Anolis sagrei: one gene and its partners. The protein of the gene in region 1 purifies or fractionates together with the protein of each later gene. This does not show direct contact. Links are inferred from orthologs where the notes say so. Each region holds a gene or a part of one and is shown on either strand. Other genes may lie near its edges. The genes, in order: UTRN, SNTB1, MARK2 and DTNA.

The links.
Region 2: the proteins of UTRN (region 1) and SNTB1 purify together in Homo sapiens (affinity purification with mass spectrometry; 3 studies listed by BioGRID and IntAct, with this or other methods). This does not show direct contact. The link is inferred for Anolis sagrei from reciprocal best matches to the Homo sapiens genes UTRN and SNTB1.
Region 3: the proteins of UTRN (region 1) and MARK2 purify together in Homo sapiens (affinity purification with mass spectrometry; 4 studies listed by BioGRID and IntAct, with this or other methods). This does not show direct contact. The link is inferred for Anolis sagrei from reciprocal best matches to the Homo sapiens genes UTRN and MARK2.
Region 4: the proteins of UTRN (region 1) and DTNA purify together in Homo sapiens (affinity purification with mass spectrometry; 3 studies listed by BioGRID and IntAct, with this or other methods). This does not show direct contact. The link is inferred for Anolis sagrei from reciprocal best matches to the Homo sapiens genes UTRN and DTNA.

The regions. Positions count from the first base shown.
Region 1 is NC_090021.1:76,107,444-76,115,054, reverse strand, and holds the start of UTRN (utrophin), read left to right. Parts: upstream 1-4,452; 5' UTR 4,453-5,035; intron 5,036-7,611.
Region 2 is NC_090024.1:21,345,173-21,353,549, reverse strand, and holds the start of SNTB1 (beta-1-syntrophin), read right to left. Parts: upstream 3,107-8,377; 5' UTR 2,879-3,106; coding exon 2,350-2,878; intron 1-2,349. UniProt on the Homo sapiens protein: Adapter protein that binds to and probably organizes the subcellular localization of a variety of membrane proteins. May link various receptors to the actin cytoskeleton and the dystrophin glycoprotein complex.
Region 3 is NC_090032.1:14,867,877-14,875,479, reverse strand, and holds the start of MARK2 (serine/threonine-protein kinase MARK2), read right to left. Parts: upstream 3,368-7,603; 5' UTR 2,871-3,367; coding exon 2,817-2,870; intron 1-2,816. UniProt on the Homo sapiens protein: Serine/threonine-protein kinase. Involved in cell polarity and microtubule dynamics regulation. Phosphorylates CRTC2/TORC2, DCX, HDAC7, KIF13B, MAP2, MAP4 and RAB11FIP2. Phosphorylates the microtubule-associated protein MAPT/TAU.
Region 4 is NC_090024.1:54,070,201-54,078,680, forward strand, and holds the start of DTNA (dystrobrevin alpha), read right to left. Parts: upstream 3,127-8,480; 5' UTR 2,918-3,126; coding exon 2,901-2,917; intron 1-2,900. UniProt on the Homo sapiens protein: May be involved in the formation and stability of synapses as well as being involved in the clustering of nicotinic acetylcholine receptors.

The DNA of each region.
Region 1 (7,611 bases):
ACCATCTATAAGTATCCCTTGCCTAAGAAATCCCTATGAAATCCATGGGGTAGCCATAGGTTAACAGGCAACTTTAAAACACATAAACACATAAGGAATGAAGTAGTAGAGTAAGAAAAGAGGAAAACAACCTTGAAGGAGGATAGACTCAATAAAGAAATCCATGGCCCTAAATTGCAAGACTCAAGCGGGGTTATTAACCGGGTTCTCATTTGTAGGATCACCATACACCTAATCATACTTCATGGTAGTTAACAACAATTAATACATTTATTCTGTGCTGGCTGATCTTCACCCATCTATTCAAAGATTTCTTAGGAAGTCTTGAATCAGTCTGCAAGAGCACAAAACACTTCGTATTCAGAAGATCCAAGGTTCAGTGTCTGGTAGAACTGGGAAAAGTACCTGGAGAACTGCTTAGACTCCGTGCACAGGCCATACCAAACTAGATGGATGAATGGTGATTTATATAAACTGCCGTGTAGCTTCCTATATTCCTAAGCATAAGCTGAGGAGTTTTCTATTAGGGTATCTTTTAAATTTAACAGTTCAGTAAAAAATCATCCTCCCACTTCCAATTAATGATTGTTTAAGGGATTAATGCTTCTGTTTGTAAACTACTCTCTCAATATGAATGAAACAGTACTGTATTACCTTTCTGTTTAGTTCTGTATTTTATTTTAATTTTAAATAAGGATAGATTGCTATTGTCTAAAATAGTGTGCAAAGAGAAAATAGGCAGGAATAATTAGGTCCATTGTTCATATACTGTCTATAAACATTTTTTAATTTTAAAAAAATATTTCATTGTGACGTGTTTGAATTACATTTGAAAAACACAGTAAGTCTTCCACATTTACAGGTTTGACTTTTGAGGATTTTTTTTTATTTGCAAAGTTGATTATATTCATCTTAGATCCCTTCCAGACAGGCCCTATATCCCAGGATCTCATCCCAGTTTTTCTGCTTTAAATTGGATTATATGAGTCCGCATTACCAGATAATCTGGAATAAACAGAAAACCTGAGATCAGATCCTGGGATATAGGGCCTGACTGGAAGGACCCTTAGAAATCGTGGGCAGTGCATCTAATATAATACTGTCTTGCCACTGTCACAGGCACGATTGGCGGGGACAAGAGAGAGGGCCTTCCCAGAGATTGCCCCTTGGCTATGGCACTCCCTTCCTGGTGAGATTAGATCTTCAGAAGGATGGTAAAAACTTGGCTGTGGGACCAAGCTTTTGGTACAGTGCAATAGGAAACCTTACCATGCCGACTAGATTCAATATGGGTGATTGAGACGGTTTTATACCGTGGATTTTAATGCCAGATAAATTATTTTAATGCTTATGTATGAGTATAATTTATTTATGTTCTGGCATTGGGCGGAATATAAATGTTTTAAATAAATAAATAAATACTGTACAATATTTGTGCTTATAATACAGCATTCATACAGGGCTTATATTTGTGCTTATACAGTGACACGCACGTATAGCATACACAGTAATATAATATGTATCATATGAAGTGGGTATTTTGGGTATTGGGTTTTGGGATACATATACATGAATGTTTGAGTTCCACTTTTCAACCATTTCCATTTTTTGATGGCACTCTGACACTTAAACCGTCTAATAAACCGAAGATGCTTCTAGTGCAATAAATTGCATTTTATTGTACTTCTAGTACCTCTCCTCTTGCACCACCAGCATTCTGCTTCTAGTACAAGGTTTGTAACCTGGCTTCTGTGTGTTGTGGGATTTCAGCTATTGCAAGGACCAAAGATTTGGCATGTGAAGTTTCCAAAGGATTGAATGAGACACAGATGGATGAAGGCAAAGATCAGAGGCTTAATTCTCCTTGGCCAAAGAGGATGTCAGTAGAGTCAGCAGCACCCCAAAAAGTGACATAAGTGCAACTGCAAACATATAGAATTTTTTATAACACTTTGACAGCTATTCAAAACAGAGACTCTAGCATGCTGGCTGTTGATTGATGCAAAATGCTGCCAGCTAAATCCACCTCCTGATAGGTCCAAGAGCTCCATCCATTATCATAGCTGATTGGCTTCAGATGTGGGAAATGTAATAAACTATCATTGGGGTTTTTTGAAGGTTTGAGCCTGTTTATTGATCTCAGGGCAAAGGTGCAAGTAGAAAGGAATGTGGCTGGGCTAGAGATGATAGGCTGAAATGGTTCTGTTTCTACCAGGAAAATGGGTGGCAGCCAGGTACACAAAGTAGTGTCCAGGCTATTGGCACAGAAGTCTTGAGACCCCAGGGAAGGGGTCCATTCCAGGGACTGGGATGAGGAAACATTCCTAGGAACAAAATCAGACAATGTCTAGAAAAGCCCTATGGCTTATCCTAAGCCTGTTCTGTGTCCTGTCTCTCTCAGGGCATTGTGAAAGGATTATGATAACGAAATGTTTGGACATTCGCGGAGGTGTGTGTGGTGTGCACATAGTGCTTAAGCAACATTTAGGTGAGTTCATTGAAGGGTTGCCTGAAACTAGGGAAAGGGTCACCACAGACACCCTGTTGGTTCCTATGGAGACATGGATTCTTGGTTTCGTCTTTTGAGGTCTGGTTTTTGATAACATGTGCACAGAGGTGGCACATGTTATCACTTTCTGCATTTCTACCCTCTACTTGCAGGTAGAAATGCAGAATCACTGCACAACTGAAAAAAAAAGCAAATTAAAAACACACTTTAAAAAACCTGACAGAACACTTCTCTGGAAATCTTTATATGCTACAGTATAGCAGAAGTTGGCTACAGAATTGCACTGGAGGACCTAGATATTTCTAGAACAAATGTTTCAATCAAATCCATAATGATCAAATCTGTAAACATTAAAACCAATAACACATGGAGAGCCAGTTGTGATTTGCATGCATAACATGCCTGAAAAACAGACCTGTTCATTGATTTCCATTCTAAAACCCTTCTTGAAGCCCACTCAACTCTCAACACCAGCTGGAATGGGACTCACTTTGGGGTCAGGACCCAAAACTTAAGAAGCAGTGTTCCAGAGCCTCAAGACTCTGAGCCACATTAGGTCAAGGTTGGTTCCTCTTTTGTACATATCCGCATCCCATCCACACCTGATGAAAAATTAGATGTGGTGTGATGTAGTAGCCTGAGTGCTCTCCATGCAATTTTTCAATTCTGCCACAAAGCTCATGAGGTGGTTTGGGTCACAGGGATCATCTACAGCAGGCATGGGGAAACTTTGGCCCTCCGGGTGTTTTGGACTTCAACTTGGCTAATAGGAATTGTGGGACTTGAAGTCCAAAACACCCGGAGGGCCAAAGTTTGCCCCTTCCTGATCTACAGTATTAATGCAGTTTGACAACCACTTTAACTGCCAGGGTTCAATGCTGTGCAATACCGGGAGTTGTAGTTTTACAAGCTTTTCACTGTCTCTGCCACCAAAGCCTCACCAGACTCCAAATTCCAGGACTCCATAGCCTTGAGCCATGGCAGTTCAATCTGTGTTGTCAAAGGCTTTCATGGCTGGAGTCACTGGGTTGTTGTGAATCTTCCAGACTGTATGGCCATATACCAGAAGCATTCTCTCCTGACGTTTCACCGACATCTATGGCAGGCATCCTCAGAGGTTGTGAGGTTTGTTGGAAACAAAGCAAGTGGGGTTTATATATCTGTGAAGTGTCCAGGGTGGGAGAAAGAACTCTTGTCTGCTCAAGGCAAGTGTGAATATTGCAATAGATCACCTTGATTATCACTGAATGGCCTTGCAGCTTCAAGACTTGGCTGCTTCCTGTCTGTTTTCTGAGTGTTGTTCTTTATTTAGTGTCCTGATTTTAGAGTTTGTAAATACTAGTAGCCATATTTTGTTCATTTTCCTGTTTTTTTCCCCTTTCTGTTGAAATTGTCCACGTTTGTGGATGAAAATGAATAAAATCCGGCTACCAGTATTTAAATGAGCTTTCACCCACTCTGGACATTCCAGAGATATATAAACCTCACTTGCCTAGTTTCCAAAAGACCTCACCACCTCTGAGGATGCCTGTCATAGATGTGGGCGAAACGTCAGGAGAGAATGCTTCTGGGACATGGCCATACAGCTTGGAAAACTCAACAGCAACCCAGTTCAAACTGTATTACTTCTTTTCTGCCTCTCCGACGGGGAGGAGGCGGGACGGACAGCCTTCAGCTGGGAGGAAAAGAAAATTACAAAAACAAAAAAAAAGAAAAAGAAAAACCTAGTGTCTGGGGCTGATTGACAGGCCGGCAGGTCACGTGACACTCTCTGCCACGCCGCGAACCTCCTTGGAGGGAGGGGACGAAGGGATGAGTTCGGTGAGCGCGCGCGCGCGGATGCTCGTGCACGCGGCTCCGGGAGCAAACTTCCCAGCGCAGCAGAAAGTTTGCTGAGAAGGCGGGAACGCGCCTCAAGGGGAGGAGGAAGGAGAGGAGGGGGGCGGGTGTGGGCGCGCGCAACCACCTGGGTGCCTTGTCAGCGCCGCCTTCTCCTTTGGCTTTGCGGGACAGAAGAGGCAGAGCCTGGGCCAAAGAGTCGCCAAAGCTGGCTGGCCCGGAGCCCCTTCCTCCCCTCCCTTCCTAACAAACAAAGGCAGACTCCAGAGGAGGAGGAGGAGGAGGAGGAGGAGGAAGAGGCGCGCCGGGTGCAGGAGCCGCCTCGGTCCGTCTGTCCGTCCCCTTGCTTGCTTGCTGCGAAGTTGAGCCCTTGCGGGAGGGAAAGAAGGAGGGAGGGAGGGAGGGAGGAAAGGAGGCGCTTCTTCCTCCTCCCCTTCCTCCTCCTCCTCCTCCTCCTCCTCCCACAGGGCTCCAGAAAGTGAGAGGAGAGGCGCTTAGGCTGCGCAACTCCACCAAGGAACGAAAGTCAGCGGATTGGGAGGAAACTTTGCCTTCTTCCTCCAGGAACTTTTTGGAAGAGGCTTTGGCGCTGAGTTTGGAGGAAGAGAGAGAGAAATAGGTGGACTCTCCGCACCGCATGGGACCCTGCGGGAGGTGAAGCCTCTGGCGGGGTTGGTGTGCAGGCAGGTAAGCTGGGCGATGATTGACAGGCGGGTGGGGTGGGGTGGGGTGGGAGGGGAGGGGAGGGGAGGGGGGCAGGAGGGCCGACAGGGGAGGAGAAAAGGACCTCATCCCTCCCTCCATAGCCTCCCCCCTCCCTTCACCATAGACCTATCTGGCCGACCCTCAATGGGAGAGGCTTAGGTTGCATCCACATTGTGGAATGAATGCACTTTGGCACCACTTGGACTGCCAGGGCTCCATGCTGTGGGATCCTAGAGTTTGCAGTTTGAGGAGGCCCCAGCACTCTTTGGCAGAGAAGGAGAAAGACCATGTAAAACTTCATCTCCGCAGCACAGAGCCATCTTTGATGTGGGGACAGTTAGTCCAAAATTTCCTTGTCTGATAAAACAGAATAGGCCACCCTCAATTTTTTTCCATGTCAGGAGTGACTTGAGAAACTGCAAGTCGCTTCTGATGTGAGAGAATTGGCTGTCTGCAAGGAAGTTGCCCAGGGGACATTGGATGTTTTACAATCCTGTGGGAGCCATCTCTCTTGGTCTGCATGAGGAGCTGGAGCTGACAGACAGGAGCTCAACCCGGTCCCCAGATTTGAACTGCCGACATTTCGATCAGCAGCCCTGCTGGCTGTCCATCCAACAGCATTCACTTTCACCAAGGATTAGGAAAGTCAACAGATAAGTGATAATGTTTGAGTGGGAGCTCACCCCATTTTGTTTGGAAGAGGTCTTGACTTGTGCCTTCAAGGCCCCCAATTGGCTTGTATCCCCCCAAAACCCCACACACAGATGGCCTTCCATTGCTCCTGTTTGCCTTCAAGTCCTTCCCCACTAAGGGTGACCCTTGAGACAAGCAACGGTTACTGTTTTTCCTTCAGGGATATTCAAACCCTGGTCCCCAAAGTTCTAGTCCAGCATTGAAACCACAGAGTGCATCTATGCCAGGGATAGGCCAGCTTGGGCCCTCCAGGTGTTCAACCCCCGCCATTCCTAACAGCCTCAGGCTCCTTCCTTTCCCCCCTCAGCCGCTTAAGGAAAGAGACTGAGGATGTTAGGAATGGCGACACTTGAAGTCCAAAACACCTGGAGGGCCCAAGTTGGCCTATGCCTGATCTATGCTGTAGAACAGACATGGACAAACTTCAGCCCTCCAGGTGTTTTGGACTGCAACTTCACAGTTCCTCACACCTGGAGGGCTGAAGTTTGCCCATCCTTGCTGTAGAATTAATGCAGTTTGGTCAAACTTGAATTGCCGTGACTCAATGCTATGGAATTATGGAATCTGTTAGGTTTGGCCTTACTTATTTTTCTTGGCCTTCCTCGGAGGATGGGAGAGTTTGACTGGTTCAGAGCCACATTGTGAGTTTTCATGGCTGAGTGAGGATTGGAAGCCCTGCTCCTTAGCGTCCTAATCCAACACTCAAACTATAGCAATTATCTGCACCGTAGAATGAATGCAGCTTGACAAGACCTTAATTGCCATGGCTCAGTGCTATGGAATCTTGGGAGTTATAGTTTGGTGAAGCATCAGCACTCTTTGGCAGGGAAGGCAAAAGACCTTGTGAAACTAAATCTCCCAGGATTCCATAGCACTGAGCCTGGGCAGATAATGTGGTGTCAGGCTTTCATTGAAGGTGGAGCCCCAGTAGCTCAGTGGGTTAAACCAGTGGTTCTCAACCTGTGGGTCCCCAGATGTTTTGGCCTTCAACTCCCAGAAACTTCTGGGAGTTGTAGGCCAAAACACATGGGGACACACAGGTTGAGAACCACTGGGTTAAACTCTTGTGCGGCAGGGCTGCTGACTAAAAGGTTGAAAGGTCAGTGGTTTGAATCCAGGGAATGGGGTGAGCTCCTGTCTGTCAGCTGCAGCTCCTCATGTGGGAACATGAGGATGGTGAAATATTTGGGCACCCCCTGGGCAATGTCCTTGCAGACTGCCAATTCTCTCACACCAGAAGTGACTTGTGGTTTCTCAAGTTGCATCTGACACACGGGAAAAAAACCCAGGGTGGCCTATTCTGTTTTATCAGACTAGGAATTTTTGGACTACTTGTCCTTCCCCCAGTTCAATAAATGCCATGTTTCTTTAGAAAATGTTAGCACACAATTCTCTTGCCTTTGAGAGACTTAACAAATTTGGGGTGGTCTAAGCTTCCATGGATTAGTGAGGCCCCTTCATCAGGTGATTTGGTCAGAGTGGGCTGGGGAAATGCTTCTAGTCCTTTTGCCTCCTAGTTCTGTGCGAGTATGTATCTACTTATAGGGTGGATTAAAGGATACTTCCATGCAAGCAGCTTTTCGTTCCTCTGCCCTAGTCAGCTTTCAATGTGCTTGTGTGCATAGGTACATAGGAGATAGGTGGTTGTGATGGTCCTAAAAGGCCATTAAGCTTTTGTAAAATAATTCCTTCTTTAGCTAATTGGTAGGAGTTCTCCATGGAGCAAAGGCATTACAAAATTTTCATAGCTAGCCTTACCATTAAGTAGAGTGAGGCAGACACCTCAGGCAATGGATTTGGGGTGTGCCGTGAAAAGGCAGAAAATTGTTAGTTATTTAATTCATTATGTTCGTATTTTTATTACC
Region 2 (8,377 bases), on another chromosome or scaffold:
AAAAGTGGAGGCAGTGACAGACTTTGTATTTCTAGGCACAAAGATTACTGCAGACACAGACTGCAGCCAGCAGGAGATGTGTAGTTCTTGGGAGGAGAGCAATGACCAATCTTAATAAAATAGTGAAGAGTAGAGACATCACACTGGCAACGAAGAACCACACAGTTAAAGCAATGGTATTCCCCGTAGTAACCTACGGATGTGCGAACAGGACCATAAGGAAGGTTGAGCGAAGGAAGATAGACGCTTCTGAACTGTCGTGTTCGAGGAAAATTCTGAGAGTTCCTTGGACTGCGAGAAGATCCAACCAGTCCATACTTCGGGAAATAAAGCCCGACTGCTCACTGGAGGAAAGGATAGTAGAGGCACAGTGGAAGTACTTTGGCTACATCATGATAAGTCAGGAAAGCTTGGAGAAGACTATGATGCTGGGAGAAATTGCAGGAAAAAGGAAGAGGGGCCAACCAAGGGCAAGATGAATGGATGGGATCCCTGAAGTGACTGGATTGATCTTGAAGGAGCTGGAGGTAGTGATAGGCCGACAAGGAGCTCTGGCCTGGGCTGGTCCATGAGGTCACGAAGAGTCAGAAGTGACTGAACGAATAAACGACAACAATCACAATAATTGCAGATGCAGTCACTCACTGAAGGGTGAAAACCTTCAGGGCAAAAGTATGATAGCTGGGACCCAACACTACGCTAGTTGCATAACGCAGCTGTGAATTAAGGAAGGGAAGAAGTGTGTGAGACAGCAGAGCAAGTAAGAGACACTGCTACGTCAGAATACTGGAAACATTGTTCACCAGAAAGGGAAAGAGGAAACATTCCTACCCCGTTTACCGTCTTCGTAAGCCATTGTTTATCATTTCACAGCAAATACCTCTAACATTACTTCCCTTCATTAATCCTGCCCCCGCGTTGCGCAACCAGTGTAGGATCCCAGCTACTAGCGTAGGGTCCCAGCTATCATACTTTTGCAACCTCCAGAAAGGCACACAATTGCAAAGCTTCTTTAACTCCCATTATTGCGAAAAGCATGGGGTATAAATAAATAGAATGCCAAGTTTGCAAACTTTGTGTTTTTTAAAAAAATACAATACAACTGTTTGGTTTGCTTCTGACACGATAAATAAAGAAATACCAGATTGCCTTGTGTTCAGCCTGCTTTCCCCCAAAGCTCCTTGCTCGCTCCCTTGGAATGGGGGTGCTGAAAAAACAATTGTGCTGTTCCAGCAGTCCCCAGCCAATCCCTCTCCAATGCCAGAAATACAGCTTAATGGTGTAACATTACCACCTCTCCACAAAAGTCAACATTGACACTGAAATGCAATGCCACCTGAGCTCTGCGAGTGCACCATTTTTCTGAATGAAGCAGAGAGTGTTTGAGGACCGGGGCATCTGTAGGGATACCAAGGTGCTTGTTTATAAAGCTATTGTCCTCCCAACCCTGCTATATGCCTGTGAGACGTGGACTGTCTACATACATCACATGCAACTCCTGGAATGATGCCATCAGCACTGCCTTCGGGAAAAACTGCAAATCTCTTGGGAAGACATGCGGACAAACGTCAGCATGCTTTTTTTTTTTTTTGTCATGTCAGGAGTGACTCCTGGTGTGAGAGAATTGGCCATCTGCAAGGACGTTGCCCAGGGGATGCCTGGATGATTTGATATTTTTATCATCCTTGTCCCCGCATGAGGAGCTGGAGCTGATAGAGGGAGCTCATCCACCTCTCCCTGGATTTGAACCTGTGACCTGTCGGTCTTCAGTCCTGCCGGCACAGGGGTTTAACCCACTGCGCCACCGGGGGCTCCTTCAGTGTGCTGGAAGAAGCAAAGACCACCAGCATTGAAGCGATGGTCTTCTGCCATCAACTCCGCTGGACCGGCCACGTTGTCCGGATGCCCGACCACCATCTCCCAAAGCAGTTGTTCTACTCCGAACTCAAGAATGGAAAACGGAATGTTGGTGGGCAGGAAAAGAGATTGAAAGATGGACTCAAAGTGAACCTTAAAAAACTCTGTCATAGACACTGAGAACTGGGAAGCCCTGGCCCTTGACTGCTCCAGCTGGAGGTCAGCTGTGACCAGCAGTGCTGTAGAATTTGATGAGGGACGAATGGAGGGTGAAAGAGAGAAACGTGCCAAGAGGAAGGCGTGTCAAGCCAACCCCCACCTGGAAACCAATGCCCTCACTGCGGGTGAAGATGCGGGTCAAGAATAGGGCTCCACAGCCAGCTAGGGTATCTTGGAAGACTATCCTACTGGGACACGGAGGGCTCGCCTAAGGCAGTGAGGTGCCAAGCCCTGCCGGATGCTGCCCAGGAGGAGCAGGAGCCTCAGCCCTACCTTCGAGGAGGACCTCCCTCCCGGCCCGCTTGAGCGCCTGCACGGCCTCGTCGTGGGTGGCGTCGCGGAGGTCTGCGCCGTTGACGGCGAGGATGGCGTCGCCCACGTAGAGCGCCTGGGTCTGGTCGGCGGCCAGTCCCTTGAAGATCTTGCTGACCAGGATGGGCATCTTGTTCTCCTTGCCGCCCTTGATGCTGATGCCCAAGCCGCCCGCCTCCTGCTTGAGCACCTTGACGCGCCGCTTGGCGTTGGCTAAGGCTTCGGGCACTTGCTCGGGCAGGTCCGTGAACGCCGTCCGGACGGAAGCCGAGTCCGAGCCCGCTCTGGGGCCATGGCTAGGGCTGCCCGGCGCCCCGAGCCCGTTGTAGAGGCCGCCTTCTCCGCCGCCCCCCTCCTCGGCGCTCAGGACCAGCGCCTCCTCGCCCAGGCTCACCAAGACCCGGTGCCAGCGGTCGCGCACCAAAACTTCCAGCGCGCCGCTCCGGTTGGGTCCCCAAAGGCCACCTCCGGACGCCGCTGCTACCGCCATCTTTGGAGCATTGCTCCCCAAAAGCCCTGGCACTTCGGGGATCCCCACGACACCCCGGAAGGAGGAGGGAGCGCTTCGGAAAGCGGCGAGCGCCGGGAGGAGAGAGAAAGGCGCACGGCGCGCAGGACTTTCGCCTCCGGGAAAAGAGAGAGAAAGAGAAAGAGTGGAGGAAAGAGAGAGAGAGGTTGAGAGAGAGAGAGAGGCTCCGGGAGGAGGAGGGCCAGCCCCAAAGCACTCCCGCCGAAGGGGAGGAGCGGGCCAAGAAAGCCAAGCGAAGTGGGGAGGGAGAAGGAGAAGCCCAAGTCGGCGCGGAGTGGAGTTGGGAGAGAAAGAGGGCACTTCCTTGGCACCGCTTCAAGCGCCCCGTTTCAATACTTTGGTTGGGACTTGCAGCTTTGCACGGTGCTTTCCTGCCCAAACGTGCCGGTGCCTCCCCAAACTATACATCCCAAGAACCCAAAGCATTGAGCCCGCGCAATGGAAGCGGCGTGGAGTCTGTGGACGGCATCCCATGCGCTCTCACACTCTCCTTTCAAACCTGAATGGGGAAAAAATCACGAGAGAGTGCCATTGAGGAACGTCGCAAATATTCACTATCGGATGCCTACCGTTTGACACCACTTTTGACCTCATCACACTAGAGAATGAATCCGCTTTAAATCCGGTTTCTGCCTCCTAGAGAATTCTGGGGTTTGTAGTTCAGTGAGGCTGCTAAAGGCTCCTCTGGAATATTGTTTACATCTGGAATATTGTGTCCAATTCTGGGCACCACAATTGAAGGGAAATATTGAGACGCTGGAATGTGTCCAGAGGAGGGCAACTAAAATGATCAAAGGTCTGGAGAACAAGCCCTATGAGGAGCGGCTTAAAGACTTGGGCATGTTTAGCCTGAAGAAGAGAAGGCTGAGAGGAGATATGATAGCCATGTATAAATACTTGAGAGGAAGTCATTGGGAGGAGGGAGCAAGCTTGTTTTCTGCTGTCCTGAAGACTAGGATGCGGAATAATGGCTTCAAACTACAGGAAAGGAGATTCCAGCTGAACATGAGGAAGAACTTCCTGACTGTGAGAGCTGTTCAGCAGTGGAACTCTCTGCTCCGGAGTGTGGTGGAGGCTCCTTCTTTGGAAGCTTTTAAACAGAAGCTGGATGGCCATCTGTCGGGGGTGCTTTGAATGCGATTTCCCTTCTTGGTGGGGGTTGGACTGAATGGTCCACGAGGTCTCTTCCAACTCTATGATTCTATGATCCTCCTTAAACTACAATGCCCAGAATTCTGCAGGAGGCAGCAACTGGATATAAAGTGGATTCATTCTTGAGTGTGATGAGGTCCAAGGCCCTTTCCACACAGCTGAATAAAATCCCACATCATCTGCTTTTAACTGGAATATATGACAGTCTGGATTCAGATACTCTAAAATCAGGACAGTAAATCAACAGCAAGACTCAAAAAGCAGGGGAATTCCAGACAATAATCAATCAGGGCCAGGTAACACCTCCCAGCAAGGGATCCCCCCAGGCAGCAACCAGCCAGAACTCTTGTCTGATTGAGGCAGGTGTGAGTGTTGCAAATAATCACCTTGATTAGCATTAGTGGCCTTGCAGCTTCAAAGCCTGGTTGGTAGCTTCCTGGGGGAATCTGGCTACCAGTATTTTTAAAAGACCTCTAAAATCAGGACACTAAATAAAGAGCAAGACTCAAAAGGCAGGGGAATTCCAGACAAGAATCAATCAGGGCCAACTAACACCTCCCAACAAAGAATTCCCTCAGGCAGGAAGCAGCCTGATCTTGAAAATGCAAGGCCATTAAATGCTAATCAAAGTAGCCAATTGCAACAAACACACCTGCCTCCAACATACAAGAGCTCTTTCTACCACTCTGGCCCTTACTACAGATAAACTTCACTTTCCAACAGACCTCACAACTGCTGAGGATGCTTGCCATAGATGTAGGTGAAACATCAGCAGATAATGCTTTTGGAACATGGCCATACAGCCTGTGTTTGGCCAATGCTACATTTGGTGGTCCCTATGTAGACTTGTCCACAGCTGCATGGTGTAAGTAGACTCCTGCAAAGGTGAGAGGATCTCATATAAGTTATAGTTTGCACTGTTGCATTGTACGGCGTACACCTGCACATAGAAGGCAAAAGATTTTGTAAAACTATATTTCCCATGGTTTCATAGCATTGGGCCATGGCAGTACAAGTGGTGTCAAAATGCATTATTTTTTTACAGTGTAGATGCATGTGAAATGCATGGAGTTCAGCACAAGCCCCCCCCCCCCCCCCGCAGAGTATTTATTTGCAGCATAGTTTAAATGCCATGGCTGAATGCTATGAAATCATAGGATTGCAGTTTGGTGGGTGCCAATCTCCCAGTCTCTTGGATGGAAAAGGTGGGAATCTTTGTAAAATTACAACTCCCATCATTCCATACCATTGAGCCATGGCAGTTCAAGTGGGGTGAATGATGGTCACTTACCTGTAGCCATGTTTCCTTGAGTGGTCATCTGTTAAATTCGCACATATGGTAGCTGATGCACCATATTTGTGTATTTCACAGAGACCACGAAGGAGAAATGATGGTTGCTTTCCTGTAAACATGTTTCTTTGAGTGGTCATCTGTGAAATTCACACATATGGTGCATCAACTACCATATGTATGCATTTATTATTATTTATTTATTAACTTTATTTATACCCCGCAAAATCTCCCAAAGGACTCGATGCGGCTTACAAAGTTCAAGGCCACCAACAAACAACAGCATACAAATACAACAATAAAATTCATAAGCAAATAAAAAAACAGCAAGCAAAACAATAAAACACTAAAAACAATGACACCATGACGCATTTAAAACCTAACCTTTCACAGAGACTACGAAGGAGAAAACAAAATTAATTCTACAATGTAGAGAGATTACGAGAGGTGATGCAAAAGTGCCTCAGGAGCGGTCTCCTTAGTTTCCACTGTTGTTGTTGCCTTCCTTCAAGTCATTTAGACTTAAGACAACTCTCATACAGAATGATCTGGAGCTGAGATTTGCCCTAAATCACCCAGTAAGAAATCAAACCCTGGTCTCCAGACTTGATCAGACCACATTGGCTGTACCTTAGCAGCAAACCAGAAGTGTTTTGGATCCCCCTCTCCCCCCCCCCCCCCAGATTTTGGGATAGTTGCATGTTAATAGTGAGACATATTGGACTGGGACCCAAGCCCCAATAGGAAATTCATTTTTTGTTTTGTAGACACCTTGAATATGTCACCTGAATATGCTTTTAGACACACTTATGGCAACTATAAGGTTATATGATTTCCTTGGCAACAGCTGTTCAGAAGGGGGTTGGCATTGTTTTCCTCTGAGACTGAGAGAACATGACTTGCCCAAGCTTTCTGATGACTATCTATTTATTATTATTATTATTATTATTATTATTATTATTATTATTATTAGTAGTAGTAGTAGTAATAGTAGTAGTAGTACTGGAGTGACTTGAGAAACTGCAAGTTGCTTCTGCTGTGAGAGAATTGGTCATCTACAAGGACATTGCCAAGGTCACACTCGGATGTTTTACCATCCTGTGGGCGGCCTCATTCATGTCACCGCATGGGAAGCTGACAGACGGGAGCCCACTCTGCTTTCTATAGCCAAACAGGAATGTCTCCGGAGTCTTAGACCAACACTCAAATCACTATCCCATGCTGACTTTCCCCAGGTTGAGTTTCCTTTATCCAAAATATTTGGAACCAGAAGCATTTGGGATTATGTTGATTCCCCGACCCCATTTCAGAATATTTGCTTATTCATAATGTGATATTTTGGAGTTCAGACTCAAGTCCCAACAAGAAATTCACTTACATATTTCACAGACAGTTCAAACATATCACCTGAATGTATGTTTGGCTATAATATTATATAATTTGAGGCATGAAGACAGGTGTTTATCCACTGCCTCTTCAGAAAGGAAATAGGCACTATCTCAGCAACTCAGATTTTGGAGTATTTTGCATTTCCAAATAAAAGATTCCAGATATAAGGACTTTCTCTGCTGTGTTTCTTCACTCCTTGCCCCAGGTGTGGGTGTGTTATGTGCACTGGAAAAAGCAGGCTAGGATGCCCTAGGAAATAAAGGCCGCTTTTATGAATTGTTCCTGATTTTATTGCCTTGACTTGTGATGCAATCTCGGCTCAGTCCGGAAGCAATGCAGTGGGGCACGGCACTGGAAATCTGTGTTTCCCAATTCAAGTCTCTTGCGAAAGTGTCATGCTGGTTTGGAGCAATTTGAGAGTTTCGACCACAAAATGGGACCTTTGGGGTTCTGTCTGGAAGCTAAGCAGGCTCAGACCTGGTTACTACTGGGATGGGGGGGGGGCACCAAGGAATACCAGGAACTACAGGTTATATTCCAGAGGAAGAAACTGGCAAAACAACTTCTGAGTATTACTTGCCTAAGAAAACCCGATGAAATACATGAGAATACAAGTCAGTAAGCAACTTGGAAACACATATATTTGCAAGCTGTACCCTTCATCATGATCTGTATTGGGTAGGGCCAGCAAATGGGAATTGTAGTCCAGTGTCATCAGAAGGGGAACTGTGTGCTCTGGTTCTGACTTTAATGGAAAATTTCATATTTTAGCTCTAGGGAACATGGAAACTTGCCTATATTTTGTCATGTTTTAATTGGTCTTTATTAATGCAGAACTCTACTGAAACTGTCTACTGCATTTTTATTTTACACCACCCTATATTATTAGTACTTTTCATGTTGCTGTTACTGCTACTTTTAGAATTGTGTTAAGTGACTGCTGCTGGTTTCCAAAACTAGCAACACCTGAATTTGTTAGACTACACCCATAATTTAGCAGTTTCTTGTTTTGAACATCCTTGGTTCCCATTGAGTGAGTGTGTGACTGGTGAGAGAACATGCCTTCTGCACACCTGCTTATTACAGACTTGTGCAAACAGTTGTGAACACTAGTTGGAGACAGAAGAGCCATTCTTTAAAAACTCTTTTATCATGTTCTTGTTTAACTTGTTTACCTGTGTTATATTAATTATTTGGTTTATTTATTATGTACTTTTGGCATTGGATTGCTGCCATTTTATTTGTGAGTCCCCAGAGGGAAGATGGGTTGGGATACAAATAAAGATTATTATGTGATACATAACAAGATTAGTACGCAGCAAACAAGATCACTATGCTGGCTTTTGTATTTGATCACACATCAGACACTTCCCAAGTATCTAGTGACTATGTGATGTATCAGTGAATAATGTGTGCAGATCTGAGTAGGATGGCCATTTATAGCTGGCAGATGGTAATTTTTTCAGCACTGATTGTTTTTAAGTGCAGGCCAAGGTCTTTAGCAACTGCACCCAGTGTGCCAGTCACTACTGGGACCACCTTTACTGGCTTATGCCAGAGTCTTTGCAGTTCTATCTTTAAATCCTCATATCCTCAAGATGATGATGATTATGTGTGATTCCATTATC
Region 3 (7,603 bases), on another chromosome or scaffold:
ACAAATGGAGCTTGGGGGAAATAAACCTTGACATTGGGAGTTGTAGTTACTGGGATTTATAGTTCACCTACAACCAAAGAGCAGTCTGAATCACATGAACGATAGAATTGGGGCAAATTTCCTACACAACACCTCTATAACCAATAGAACAGTGGTTCTCAACCTGGGTTCCCCAGATGTTTTTGGTCTACAACTCCCAGAAATCTCAGCCAGTTTACCAGCTGTTAGGATTTCTGGGATTTGAAGGCTAAAAACATCTGGGGAGCCCAGGTTGAGAACCACTGCAATAGAAAATACTTAATGCCATCCAGTCCAACTCCCTTCACTAGGGCAAGAAAACGTAACCAAATAGTGTTTACCCACAAGCAGAAAGAAATTACATATATTAGAAACCAGCACTTTCTCATTACTTTATTTTCCACAGCAACGCCTTGCAGGGAATGGCTAGTAATATAATATATAGATTTGGATGGAGTGACACTTTTAAAATGTAAAGAAATTACATATATTAGAAACCAGCACTTTCTCGTTACTTTATTTTCCACAGCAACGCCTGGCAGGGAATGGCTAATAATCTATATAAATAAAAATGTAATGTTCCTTTGTGGGATTAACAGAACTCAAAAACCACTGGATGAATTGACACCAAATCTGGACACAAGACACCTAACAACCCAATGTATGTCCTTCACTCAAAAAAATTGATTTTGTCATTTGGGAGTTGTAGTTGCTGGGATTTAGAGTTCGCCTGCAATCACAAAGAGCATTCTGAACCCCACCAATGATGGAATTGAACCAAACTTGGCACACAGTTCTCCCATGACCAACAGAAAATACTGGAAGGGTTTGGTGGGCAGTGTCCTTTGGTTTTGGAGTTGTAGTTCACCCACATCCAGAGAGTACTGTGGACTCAAACAATGTTGGATCTGGACCAAACTCTACATGAATACTCAATATGCCCAAATGTGAACACTGGTGGAGTTTGAGGAAAATAGAATCTTGACATTCGGGAGTTGTGGTTGCTGGGATTTATAGTTCACCTACAACCACAGAACATTCTGAATCCCACCAACGATAGAATTGGGCCAAACCTCCCACACAGAACCCCCATGTCGGCCACAGCAACGCGTGGCAGGGGACGGCTTGTAAAATGAAATAAAAATAAAGTAATAAAATAATAAATAACCTTAACTCGAGTATAAGCCAAGGGGGGCTTTTTCAGCCTAAAACAGGGCTGAAAATCTCGGCTTATACTTGAGTATACACAGAACCCCCATGTTGGCCACAGCAACGCGTGGCAGGGGGCGACTAGTATAATATATAGATTTGGATGGAGTTACACTTTTAAAATGTACCCACAAGCATAAAGAAATGACATATATTAGAAACCAACACTTTCTCATTACTTTATTTTCCAGATCACCAGACTGGGCCACAGCAACGCCTGGCAGGGAATGGCTAGTAATATAATATATACATTTGGATGGAGTGACACTTTTAAAATATAAAGAAATAATAATAATAATTATTATTATTATTAAACTTTATTTGTACCCCGCTAGCATCTCCCGAAGGACTCGATGCGGCTTACAAAGGCCAAGGCCTCAACACACAATATAACAATACAAAACGTAAGGCAAATTAAAAACAATTAAAGCAATACAAACAACAAGCAATAAACAATACACTAAGACACAATAAAACTGGGCCGGGCCAGAGTAATGGGTACAGGATTAAAAGTGCTGATGTGACAGGTGGAATATAAGGCTTATAGGGCAAGTGCAGTGTGCGATGTGCAGCAATCTTATGGGACTTGGTATTGGAGATTTCCTAATCTGGGAAGGCACATCGGAACAGCCAGGTCTTCAAGTTCTTTCTAAAGACTGCCAGTGTAGGGGCCTGTCTAAGATCTTTGGGGAGGGCGTTCCAGAGTCGGGGGGCCACCACAGAAAAGGCCCTGTCTCGTGTCCCCACCAACTGCGCTTGTGAAGCAGGCGGGATCACGAGCAGGGCCTCTCCAGATGACTGAAGTGCACGTGTGGGTTCATAGACGGAGATGCGGTCACGCAGGTAGGATGGTCCCAAACCGTTCAGGGCTTTGTAGATAAGCGCCTGCACCTTATTTTGGGCTCGGAAAATAAACGGCAGCCAGTGGAGCTCCTTGAACAGGAGGGTTGACCTCTCTCTGTAAGGGGCCCCAGTTAACATCCTGGCTGCTGCTCGTTGGACCAGTTGGAACTTCCGAGCCGTTTTCAAGGGCAGCCCCACGTAGAGCGCATTGCAGTAGTCCAATCTGGAGGTGGCCAAGGCATGGACCACCCCGGCCAGAAATTACATATATTAGAAACCAACACTTTCTCATTACTTTATTTTCCACAGCAACGCCTGGCAGGGAATGGGTAGTAATATAATATATACATTTGGATGGAGTGATACTTTTAAACTGTAAAGAAATGACATATATTAGAAACCAGCACTTTCTCATTACTTTATTTTCCACAGCAACGCCTGGCAGGGAATGGCAAGTAATATAATATATAGATTTGGATGGAGTGACACTTTTTAAAATGTAGAGAAATGACATATATTAGAAACCAGCACTTTCTCGTTACTTTATTTTCCAGGGAATGACTAGTAATATAATATATACATTTGGATGGAGTGACACTTTTAAAATGTACCTGTTCTGACTTCCATAGGTGTTCAACTTAAGAGCAAGGCTACAGACCCGGTCTCGTTCGTAACTCGGGGACTGCCAGTCCTGCCTTTGGGGGCCTAGAAGAGGCCCCTCGTGGATACTCTTTCTCTCTGCTTACCTGCTCGGTGTTCTCCGTCAAGGTGGGCAAGGGGCTCCGTCCGCTGTTGGACATGGCTGCCTGTGGCAGGGCCTGAGGGGCGGTGGCCCCCCCAGCTGCTGCTGCCTCCTTCCTCTTTCCTGCTTTCTGGCCCAAAGGGAAGGAGCCTGGTCCCTCTTCTTCTTCCTCCTCAAGGCGAGGGGGGAGGCCAAGCCACCAGCATGGGGAACAACCAGGCTCGGTTGGAAAAACACCAGTGTAAGAGTTCCCCCCTTCCCCGGGCTCGAGTGAAGGATGCCCGGCTTGACGTTTCACGCGAGGCCGGGGATGCGGCTCGGGAGCTAGGCCGCACCGGTCCGAAAGCTCCCAACGGAGGGACCCTGTCAACCAAAGTCAATGCCGGGCTGCTGCGAACAACTCCGACGCCCGCCTTGGCCTCCCAGGCCGGGCACGGACTTCCCCTTCCCTTCGCCGCCCCGGTGCCCGAGCTCCACTCACCGCCGCTCTGCTTCACACAGCGGCGGCTCCCAACATGGCCGCCGCCGCCGGGCTTCGGGAAGTTCCGCCGACTTTCCGGAAACGCACGATCCAGGCGGGAAAAGTCCCACGGTGTACGGAAAGAGCCGAAAAGGGATGGACAAAGTTGATTGGTCCACGAAAGGCAGGCGGGGGCGTGGCCAAAGCTTTGGCACTGAAAGAGGGCAACTTCGAGAAAACCTTCCCCAAGCGGTTCGGAAAGGAGGCGGAAATAGCCGAACAGGTTTCGGCTCGCATAATACGGAAATAGCCGAGCGAGTGTACGGAAACAACCGAATGAGTACTATCGAAACTGCCTTCTGGTCCATGAACCTGGGATGCAGGAAACAGGCAGGGATCCTCCGCCCCCTTGTGGCCAGTGACTGACACTGCAGGCGCACAATACGGAAATAGCCGAGCGAGTTGAGCTCAGAGTGTACGGAAACAACCGAATGAATCCTATTGAAGCTGCAGGAAACAGCTTGCCCCCTGGTGGCCAGAAACCGACACTGCAGGAAGGACCAAAACAATAATAATAATAATAATAATAATAATAATAATAATAATAATAATAATAATAATAATAATAATAATAAGGACTGCAATCATAGAATCAAAGAGTTGGAAGAGACCTCATGGGCCATCCAGTCCAACCCCATTCTGTCAAAAAGCAGGAATATTGCATTCAAAGCACCCCCGGCAGATGGCCATCCAGCCTCTGTTTAAAAACTTCCAAAGAAGGAGCCTCCACCACACTCCGGGGCAGAGAGTTCCACTGCTGAACGGCTCTCACAGTCATGGGCCGTCCAGTCCAACCCCATTCTGTCAAAAAGCAGGAATATTGCATTCAAATCACCCCCGACAGATGGCCATCCAGCCTCTGTTTAAAAGCTTCCAAAGAAGGAGCCTCCACCACACTCCGGGGCAGAGAGTTCCACTGCTGAACCCCTATCACAGTCAGGAAGTTCTTTCTCATGTTCAGATGGGATTTCCCATCCAGATAGGCCCAAAATGGGGTTGAAATAGGATCCAATGGGATTTCTAATCCACATAGGAGCAAAACTGGACTCTAATAGGACTGAAATTAGATTTATATCCCAGGTAGAACCAAAATGGGGCTCTAATAGGACTAAAATGGGGTTTCCAATCCAGATATTACCAAACTGGGGCTCTGAAATGGGATTTCTGATCCACAAAGGGCCAAAAATGGGGCCCTCATAGGACTAAGATGTGATTTCTAAACCAAATAGAACCATTTATTATTATTATTATTATTATTATCATCATCATCATCATTATTATTATATGCTTTCTATTATAAGATTTTTTAAATGTTTATTATAATTTTTACATTGTTTTAATGACATCACATGTTGTAAAGCCATCTAGAGTCCCCTTTCGAGTGGAGAAAGTCGAGGTAGAAATGGTGTAAATAAATAAATATTTAGTAGTACTAGCATTTTAATGTATTAGTATTATTTAGATGAGAGACAGGGCCTTCTCAGTGGTGGCCCCTCAGCTGTGGAACTCCCTGCTCAAGGATATTAGATCAGCCCCCTCCCTCCTGGCCTTTTAGAAAAGATCGAAGACCTGACTTTTTGAGAAAGCATTTGGAACTTCAGTGTAAATTCAAATAGGTATATAAACATGGAATGGCTAAGACAATGTAAACAGATGAGAATAGAACCGGAAGATATTGGTTTTATAGATTTATATAGTTTTTATTGCTTTTATGGTTTTATATGTATTTATGATGTAATTTAATTGCTTTTAACTGATATATGTATATATATATATATATATATATATATATACACGTGGCATCTAATTGTGCTGGTTCTATATATTTTTATTATTTATTTTGTTATTTTGATTTATTTATTTATCTTTAAAATTATTTATTATTATAATTAGATTTTTATTTATTTCTATTTCTATTTATTTTATTTATTCTATTATTTATTTATCTTTATCATTTTTATTATTATAATCAGATTTTTATTTATTTCTATTTCTTTTTATTTCTATTATTTATTTTATTATTTTTATTTATTTATCTTTATCATTGTTTACTTTTATTTTATTATTTTTATTTATTTATCTTTATCATTATTTATTATTACAATTAGATTTTTATTTATTTCTATTTCTATTTATTTTATTTATTCTATTATTTATTTATTTATCTTTATCATTTTTATTATTATAATTAGATTTTTATTTATTTCTATTCCTTTTTCTTTTTATTATTTATTTTATTATTTTTATTTATTTATCTTTATCTGTTTATTTTTATTATTTATTTTACTGTTTTCATTTATTTTTTATCTTTATCATTTATTATTATAACCAGATTTTTATTTATTTCTATTTCTATTGATTTTTATTATTTATGATCCTTTGCTGGAGATTATTATAATTAGATTTTCATTTATTTCTATTTCTATTTATTTTATTTATTCTATTATTTATTTATTTATCTTTATCATTATTTATTATTATAATGAGATTTTTAATTATTTCTATTTCTATTGATTTTTATTATTTGTTTTATTATTTTTATTTATTTATCTTAATCATTATTTATTTTTATTATTTATTTATCTTTCTTTATCTTTATAATTATTTATTATAATAATTAGATTTTTATTTATTTATCTTTATAATTATTTATTATTATAATTAGATTTTTTATTTATTTCTATTTATTTTTATTATTTATTTTATTATTTTTATTTATCTTTAACATTATTATTATCAGATTTTTATTTATTTCTATTTCTATTTATTCTTTATTTATCTTTATTTATTTATTTATTTATCTTTATAATTGTTTATTATTATAATTAGATTTTTATTTATTTCTATTTCTATTTATTTTATTATCTTCATTTATTTCTGTTTCTATTTATTATTTATTTTATTACTTTTATTTATTTATCTTTATCATTATTTATTTTATTTTTTATTTTACTATTTTATTTTTTCATTTTTCATTTTTTTATTATTATTATTTTATTTAAAACTGGACTCTAATAGAACTGAAATGGGAATTATAATCCAGATAAACCCAAATGGGGCACTAATCTAATATTATTAATAGATTAATTGTTATTATTAATAATAGATTAATCTATTATTAGAGGAATAGGACAACTGACCTCATCATCCCCAATGAGCTTCTGCATTGCCCTAATGACTGGTCCCTTTGCCTCCCTCCAGTGGACACACTGAATATTACACCCTCTCGATCTCTCCCTTAGAGTTGCCTTTTGCCCAAGGCTCTGCAGATCCAATGTACGGTCCTTTGCTGCCATCGCGTGGCCGAAGTGGAATATTGCACCCTTTTAGTACAGCCGGCTGCAGAGTTCTGTGTAAGACATAGGCTCTTACTCTTTGCTGCCATCCTGTGGTCACTGTTGAACATTACATACTGAAATAGCATTTTATCTTGTTGTTTTTGTTGTTGTTGTTGTTATTATTATTATTATTATTATTATTATTATTATTATTATTATTATTATTATTATTGCTACTACTCTAGCACAATGAACTCCATCAACAACGGACTGGAAAATTATCAGAATGAGATGCATACTTTTCTAATTCTATAGATGCTGACCACTGTGTGCACCATTAAGAGGCTGGATGGCCATCTGTTGGGAGGGCTTTGATTGTGCTTTATATGCATGGCAGAAAAAGAGGTCAGACTGAATGGGCTTTGGGGGTCCCTTCCAACTCTAGGAGTCTATGAGCCTGGATGGCTATCTGTCAGGAGGGCTTTCATTGTGCAGAAAAAGGGGTTGGATTGGATGGCCTTTGGGGGTGCCTTACAACTCTAGGACTCAATGAGGCTGGGTGGTCATCTGTCAGGAGGGCTTCAATGGTGTTTTTCCTGCACTGCAGAAAAAGGGGTCAGACAGGGTGGCCTTTGGGGATCCTAACTCTAGGATTTCTATGAGGCTGGATGGCCATCTATTGGGAGGTCTTTCATTCTGCTTTTCCTGCATGACAGAAAAAGGGGTTGGACTGGATGGCCTTTGGGGGTCCCTCCCAACTCTAGAATTCTATGAGGCTGGGTGGCCATCTGTCGATAGGGCTTTCATTGTGCTTTATATGCATGGCAGAAAAAGGAATTGGACTGTATGGCCTTTGGGGATCCCTTCCAACTCAATGGCCATCTGTTGGGAGGGCATTGGTGGTGCTTTTCCTGCACAGTAGAAAAAAGAGGTCAGACTGGATGGCCTTTGGGGGTCCCTTCCAACTTTAAAACCCTATTAGGCTGGATGGCC
Region 4 (8,480 bases), on another chromosome or scaffold:
CCTGACAATCTTCAAAGAGGTGTCAACTCTAGGCATTTCTGAGGTCCTCCAGCATGAGTTTATACTATATATCTACTGGAAGTAGTTCATCCAATAGGGTTCCTTATTATTGATTATTTTCACTAACTTTGTTAAGTCCAGAAATGTATCCCCTATGGATATGGTGGTCATACAGTATAGGAAAATGATTATCTATTGTTGTGGCTGTTGTTGTTATATAAACAACAAACTACATTCAAGGTGGCTTGAATGTGATTAGCTAAACCAGAAAATCCATGGATTTTAACACACAATAAATGATTACATTACAAAAGCAGCATCCGTTTGAAACACTGTAAAAGAAGTAGGATACTTCCAAATAAAACCTTTATGGTGTAATTGTTTCTCTTCATTCACAGAGCTGGGGGGAAGGGTGTTTCAGGTATCTTCCATTTATAACCCTGATGTGTTTTCCTGCCCTTTTATCTTTTTTTCTGTCAAAAAGGGATTGATAGTACAGCTGAATAATGTCTTTTTTATTGCTAGCAGTAGGAACTTGTCTGGATGTAGTCAAAACATTTAATTAAAAGTATGGTTCAATAGAAATCTTCACTACTGACCTAACATTGCAAAGGAATGTAGGTAGGCATACTGCTCTGGAAAGGCTTTACCAGGATTTGGACACCAATGACTGAGGGCCCCTCCACACAGTCATATAACCCAGAATATCAAGGCAGAAACTGGGTTATCTGAGTACACAATGACATATATTCCAATTCAAAGCAGATATCGTGGGATTTTATTCAGCTGTGTGGAAGGGGCCTGAGAAAGTCTCATTGCTCTATTTGCTCTATCCCATATGCACATACATGACACATACATCATCCTCTATTAGAGGAAACCAGGAAATCTTACAGAGTGACTTTTCACTAGATGTGAGTATGCTCAAGTACTGTTTCCCTATGTATGTTATACACAGAAGGAAAGGAGAGTATACATTTAAGTATGAGCAAAATCTTCTGGCAAAATCCAGCTACAACACAGATGAATGTTCCACTGATATGAATAAGAGTTAAACATCTGTTTAGCTCTGAAATGAGTGGGAATAATAATGCAATCCTATGGATGTTTAGTTAGGAAATAAAGACAAATATTTTCAACATTGCTTATTTCCAGGTTCATGTGCATAGAGCTTCAGTATAAAAGGGATTAATTTTGGCTGGGCTATGCCCTAAATACATGTTTTAACAGTTTAGTATAAATCTCTTACAGAGTTTTCTAGATTCTAAGAATATGCATATTTAAATTACTAAGTTATGCCTAGAATTGAAAAGCTACAAGCACCTGACCCAGACCAATTTCAAAAGTATTTGTTCCCAACTTGACTTTACAACAAGGTATAGTGCCAACACTGCCCCGTCCACTTCTAAAATTGGAACTGTACCCGTTCACTAAGTAGCCTAATGGCTGACCAGGTTGGGGTTGTTCAGTCTACTTTGTGAGTCACAAAGCTTAAAATACTATGATTATACATACAGCAGTACACAAAAATCTGAAGATTAGAAGTATTAAGTTAAGATCCCATTCAGCACATTATAATCCCCACATTCCTCCCCTCCATTTTGCATTTTGTTCTTGCAAATTATTTCTACTTCCTCTCGGTCATGGTCACCAGGGGAAAAGCAACGACTGCATATATTCAGTTTTATTTTTGCTATTTATACACTCCTCCTCCCAATTCTCTTGAGCACTGTGACTTATGGAATTAGTTATCAAAGAAAAGGAACAGAATGTCAGGTGCAGAAGATTTTCTGTTCAAAAATGATTTGAGTTGTAGCCAAGTGTTTCTCCTCATATTTTCAAGTTGAAGATATCTTTGTGAAATTTAAGAGCTCTCTAAAATGCAAGCAGAGGAACAGTAATTTTATATCTCCATAAAAAAAAACATTTTGCCTCCTACAGCTAGTGCAAAAAGCCTTGTTACAGATAAAATTTCAAAAATGTAATATTATTAATGGAGTGGAGGAAATATTTTACACCATAATAAAAGTGCAAGCTACAAATGACTTCATAGGAGACCAATATTTAACAAACACCAATGAAGTAAAGCACAGCCTATGCATTACATTTCATTTTGGCAAGGAAGTAAATAATATGCCTGGATCCTTCCTTCCTCTGTGTCATTTTTTAAATAATATTGTTTTTAAAATAATTCCATTAAATCTCTTTCTCACATGTAAATAACGTAAGTATTTTCTTCCAAAAGATCTACCAACCTCACTGGAATATACACATAAATAGCTGGACGTAATGTTACAATTCAAATGAAGATAAGTAGACTCATCTAATAAACAAGCACTTGCTTACTTTTGTTCAATTAACCAAAAGATCACTCTTGATTACTGCATATTTCTAATGGAGCATAAATGCACAGACAAAAAAACTAAACAGTCCACAGTGAAATACCCTGCCAAAAAAGCCAAACTGAAGCTTGGGGATACAAAAATCTATTTGTGTTCCCAAGCTACACAGAACCAGTGCCAGAATCAGAATAGAATAACAGGAGGCACTAAGATGCATCTAGGATAGCCTGCTACTATGCTATATACACAGAAATACGAATTTGCTCCTAAATTTACTATGGCCGAAGTGCTTTTCATTCTGCAATTGAAACAAAAAGATTTAGCACACCATTAGGGCAAAATAAATCTAGCAGGAAAGAAACACTGCTTTCAATCTAAATATGTCTTCATGCATGCCACAACAAGAAAAGTTGTATAATGCCAATTCGCTGAGGCATGCACTCTGAAGGGGCAAACAGGGAACATTACCTGTAGGCATGCCTCCCTGTAACGTTCAGACCAGAAGCTGAACAAGCATGGTAAAAGAAATAAGGAGTTCAAATGAAGCTTGTTACTTACCCTGCAGCATGCACCATGATCTTCTTACACACTCCTAGTTATTCCAAAACACTAAATGAGAGTCTGATAGAATAAAAACTGAGGTGCCTTGGAGGCAGTGAAAAGAAAACTCCCAAGGCAACAGTCTTCAAGAGACTAAGTTGAAACTAGTGCCCAAGATGCTATGTACTCTTGGTTCTATCTTTAACTTGTAAATGATTTGGTTTCACATTCCTCTGAAGTCCTGCTGGCAGATGCCTTCATGAGGCTTACCAATCACAAGCACTCAGATCCACTCCCTTTCTCTTCTCTCCCCCACCCCCTGTTACTCCACCTCCCTCACTTTCCCTCCTTTGGAGAGCCCCAGACAGCTGCTGCTTCTGCGGTTGTTGTTACCTGTCTCGGCAAGATGAAAGAAGACGCTCTCACTGCTTCTCCTTGGTGTTTGGGTACAGGCAGAAATTGAAGCCCTCCTGCCATGTCTCTCATTCAGGCATTACTGCAGTTTTGCAGCCAGGAATAAACTAGCTTCCAAACTTGGCTGCCCAGGAAAGGAATGTTCTGCAAGTGACATTCCTGAGAGCCTGCGGCAACAGAGGACAGGAGCTACCCGGCCTTAAGAACATGCGTAATTATGTGCTCTACATCACTGAGCATATAGAGAATCCCAGAGCTGAGTGAAAAGAGCAACACCCACTCTATGTCACAATTGGAACATCCGTATTACCAAAATGAACAGCATCTATCTACATCTGGATCCCAAAGCACTTTTTTGAGGGCATTCTCTCTTGGAAAGAGAGACAAGAACACCTAAATAAATAAACATGCCTGTTTGTAAGAGCCCTATATGTCAATGAAATTTATTTCCATGAAAGCGTTACTTAAAACTGCAGTTATAATAACATTTAGAATTGCATTGTATCAGCAGCATTAAGACACTGCATTCACAATCTCCGAAGGGGCATTCCCTCCATATACTATGTGGAAACTAGTGGCATAAATCTGCTTACCTGCAAATCTAGTAAGTTCTTGAACTAATTATTATTTTGTCTTTTGGATTATATTCTGAAGCTATCAGAAGGTTTTAATACAATCAAGCACTTGGATTCAATGTATGTCTACACTCGTAATTTTTAGTAATTAGTGTTACTAGCTTTTGGTAGATCTACCTGCTATACATTTGTCTAATCTTACTTAAAGTCATGTAAGAATACTGTAATTCGCTTTTGGGAAAGCTGAAAAAAATGTAAGCTTTATAGATATCTTGTCTTCTCCATAGCACTTTAAGAAAAATTATTAATGGATTTAGAAAAACAGGCTGGTACAGAAACATCAGGGAATGATGCCAAGCCGATTTCCAAGAAAGAGGTAGCTGAAATCTAATACTGCTGCCAAATCTAATATTAGCTAATGACTAAGTGTGCCTATTCTGCATGGGGAGAAAGGGGAGAAGAATATGTCTTCCTTTTCTCATGCTAAAATCCTAGATTATTCCAATTAAACTGAATAGTTGAGACTGAGGGCAAGTACCTTTATACCATGTAAAGGGAAGCTGTGGAATTCAACATTAAAAGATAGTCATGGCCGCTAACATTGATCGTTTTTAGGAAGGATTATAAAAAAAATAATGGAGGACAACAATGGCTATTACTTTCAGAAGAGGCATGCCTTTCAGTACGTTCATTTATGAGGGAACACAACCATTAATGTCCTAGAGCAATTGTGTTCTGCTGGTGGACTTCCTATAGATATTCCCATTCTGAGATCAGAATGGCAGATTGGGAGAGATTTGTCCTGATCTAACAGGGCTGTTCTGATGTTCTTGCCATGGGGAATGTGCCTATTGCAGTCTGGATCTGCAACTAATCATCCACTGAATCTATTTTTATTTCTTGGCCACCCATTTCACCTCACAAATCTCACTTAGGAAAGATATTTTCCAGACCCTCCTTTAAGTTCGGGAATCTGAGTGGCAGTCTTTTAGCCCTTTCCTGTTTTCCCAATTATTCCCCTGCTTTACGAATCTTAACAGTCGTATCTTAGAGAGGTCACTCCTCTTTGTTAGCCCATTAAAATTATTTCCCAAACTTATTTAGACAAGAGAAAGAAATGGGAAAAATGAAGGGAGGGAGAAAGAGAAAAAACAAGTAAGTAAAAGGAAAAGAAAGGAAATGGAGAGAACCTCAGACAAAACACTGGGAAACCAAGACATCTACGTTCTTATCTGTTTTTTCAATGCTATCTTTCTATATATCTTCCTACTTCCCACTTATTATCAGCTAATCTTTGTATCTTTTCACACTGCCATTTTGTCATATCTTTCTACCCCCCCCCCCCCACCCTCCAATTCCCTTTTATCATATCCCACACGAATCTTTATCTGTATCTTTAACTCTATATAACTTTCTTTATTTAAAGACCACCATATTTTTATGCTATACTATTTTTAATGTACTCTTTAAAAATTAAATAAAGATTATTAAACAAAAAAATTCCCAAACTGTTATGATGCTTAGATAAACTCTTTCAACTTTTGGGGCACCCAGCAGGATTTTTTTTTCATCTCAGGAGAGACTTGAGAAACTGCAAGTCGCTTCTGGTTTGAGAGAATTGGCCTTCTGCAAGGATGTTGCCCAGGAGACACCCGGATATTCTGATGCTTTACGATCCTTGTGGGAGGTTTCTCTCATGTCTCTGCACGGGGAGCTGGGGCTTACAGAGGTAGCTCATCCATGTTTTCCCTGAATTCGAACCTGTGATCTGTCGGTCTTCAGTCCTGCCAGCACAAGGGTTTAATCCACTGTACCACCGGGGGCATGATTTCCCAGATTTATAATGTCCCCTTTTTATTTCTAAAACAAACTTTTTGGAATTTTGCCTTTTGACTCGACAAGTTGCTGCTGCCATCCTGACAATAACTAAGAATGTTATGTGGCATCTCGAGGCATCTACCATGGTTTTGTGTTGAGTTAGGTCTGGTTGTTGCTTGTCCTTTCTGAGAGCAATCAGTTTGGAATTTCAAATGGAAACATGGCCCAGACACTTTGATGACAAGTTGGGAAAGACTTTGTCAAATGTTTACGAATCTAGTACAATATTCCAATTAGATATACCTGCCACAAATGATAGATATTAATCCTGAACTACTGAGTAAGGCTGCAATCTGATACAAACCTACCACATATAAAATCAGCTGCAGTGGAGCTTGCTTTTGAGCTTGCTTCGGTCACCTGGAAATGTACACTGTACCAAACTTCAGTTCAGAGACAGTTTAACTGAAGGCAAGACTAACAACTGGATTTACTTTGCCTGCTTGCTTGCTTATTTTGTTTGATACTCAAAAGGCTTTGAAACATTTTGAAACAGTATTTTAGAGAATTAGCTACCTAAGAACTAAAAAATTCAATGTACACTATCTGCCGGAACCCAGATGCCTTAAAGAGCCAGACACAAGGAAGTATTCAAAACAACAGTTTATTAAATCAAAGTAAACAGGACTCAGAGACACTTGCCTCAGTGTCTCTGGTCAAAACTCAAAGTTTGCAGCAACTTGCAGCTTAAAAAATGAACTTAATTAATTGATTGATCTTGGAACTTGGAATAATGGATGAGGAGATCAGATTATGACTTTACTGATGAGACGTGATGGATTAGTTATATGGATGTATTGATGTTAGATTGATGTACTGATGTATTGTTATATTGATGTAGTTGCCTTAGTTACTGTTTTAATTGCTAATGTTGTGCACTTTGTATATTGGTTTGGTTGTAAACCGCACTGAGTCGCCTATGGGCTGAGAGAGTGCGGTATACAAATAAAGTAAATAAAATAAATAAATAACTTGGAAAATAAACTGGATTAAACTTGCAAAAAATCGGATTAAACCAGTGTTAGTTCAAAACACACCAAAATCACACAGTTCAAAGATAATGGTAAAACAAAGAGCCATGAAGAAAAGCTGTCGTCCAAAAACAGTCCCAAGTTGAAGAAATCCCAGATGAAGATTCCAAAGTCCCAAAGGTAGCATCGTTGTCAGAAACAGTCCGTGGTCAAGGAGAGGGGAAATCCGCACTTACGAGAATCCAAGCCGGATGATGCACGAAGGGCTAGTAACAATTTCCTTCCATGTCACCTCTCATTTTTGTAAATGCGTAAAACTTGCTTATATCCTGTGAGAGATGGGGTTATAAAAACGACCAGAAGTAACTCTACCACTATCTCTCTCTGGAAGTTTTATAGATACTAAACTTCTAATTCTGAGACTGTCACAGTTTATTTGCATTCCATTCCCTGAAAGGACTTGTAGCGATCTGCAATTATTAAAGGTCTCAACCAGAGGGTAACAAGACATTCCCTTTCTTTGTTTCTCTTTTGACTTCACAAAGTGTTAGGCTTCAATGTCTTTGCTTACTACACAGCAGAGTTGGGAATCAAAAAGTCCACAAAACATTGTAGGACTTCAGCTACCAGGAGGCCTCACCACTGGTTATGCTTGCTAAAGCTGCTTGGACTTTATAGCTCAGCAACATGTGTAATGACATCTATTTCCCATTCCTTAGACTAACTGATATATCCTACAATGAATGAAAACTGGGACATACACTAGTCAATTAACCTTAGAAGCAAACATTATGAATGTTGAAGAGCAGACAAGCTGGCAGAGACTGCAGGAGCTTGCTTTCCTGACCCCTTTCCCTTCCGCCAAATTATCAAAATACTGTGTCATGGACACCTCCATGCCATGCGTTTCATAGCCAAGGTCAAGGAATTAAAACATCAGGAGGCCTTGAGTGGGAAGGAGCCTGATAACATGAATTGGCTTGGACTGGAAGGTCTGGAGGTTGGATGGAGGAACTTTTGGGAGTTGGGGGTGGGGGTTGGGTTTTGGTGGATTCTTCATTCATAATTTTGCTGTATAGTAGTAACCTAGCATTAAAGAAATTTCCAGGATTTCCCTGTGAGGGAATTTAATTGCTACCAAAATTCTGTGATCATCATATACATATTATTTTTGTATGTTAAGATCTATTTGCAGCAATTGATGGCAACAGGACAAATGATAGGAGAAGAGAGAAACTGGAGGCATGTTAAAAACAGCTGAAAAATGGGGTTGAGGGTTGATAGAACTGACCTTACAAAATGGGGACAGTTGGAGGGTACACACACACCACCAACAACACTACCAGTGCCAGAAGCCCTGAAGCTCCATTGCCTTTGATAATCACTAAATTTTGTATTTTAACTCAACTTGATGTTTTCTGGGTAATAAAGAAACAAAACTCTCCAACAATCACAAATAAGGCACTTCTGCTAGAGTTGCACAGGAACAAGTACATTGTGTGATGTACAGAAATGCATTTATTCGTTTACTGTGGAACACGTAGCTTGTTATTCAATCTGCTGTTATGGCAACTCACAAAACATCATCACACCATCAATTTTAATAGAATATAAATGGAAGCAACACTTCTTAAAACAATATACACACCAACCACCTTGAGTCCCCTTCAGTACAGAGAAAGGTGGGATATAAATAAGGTAAATAAATAAATCAAAAAGGTCCAGAATGTGTGCTGAAGGTATATGACATAGGTCTTCTG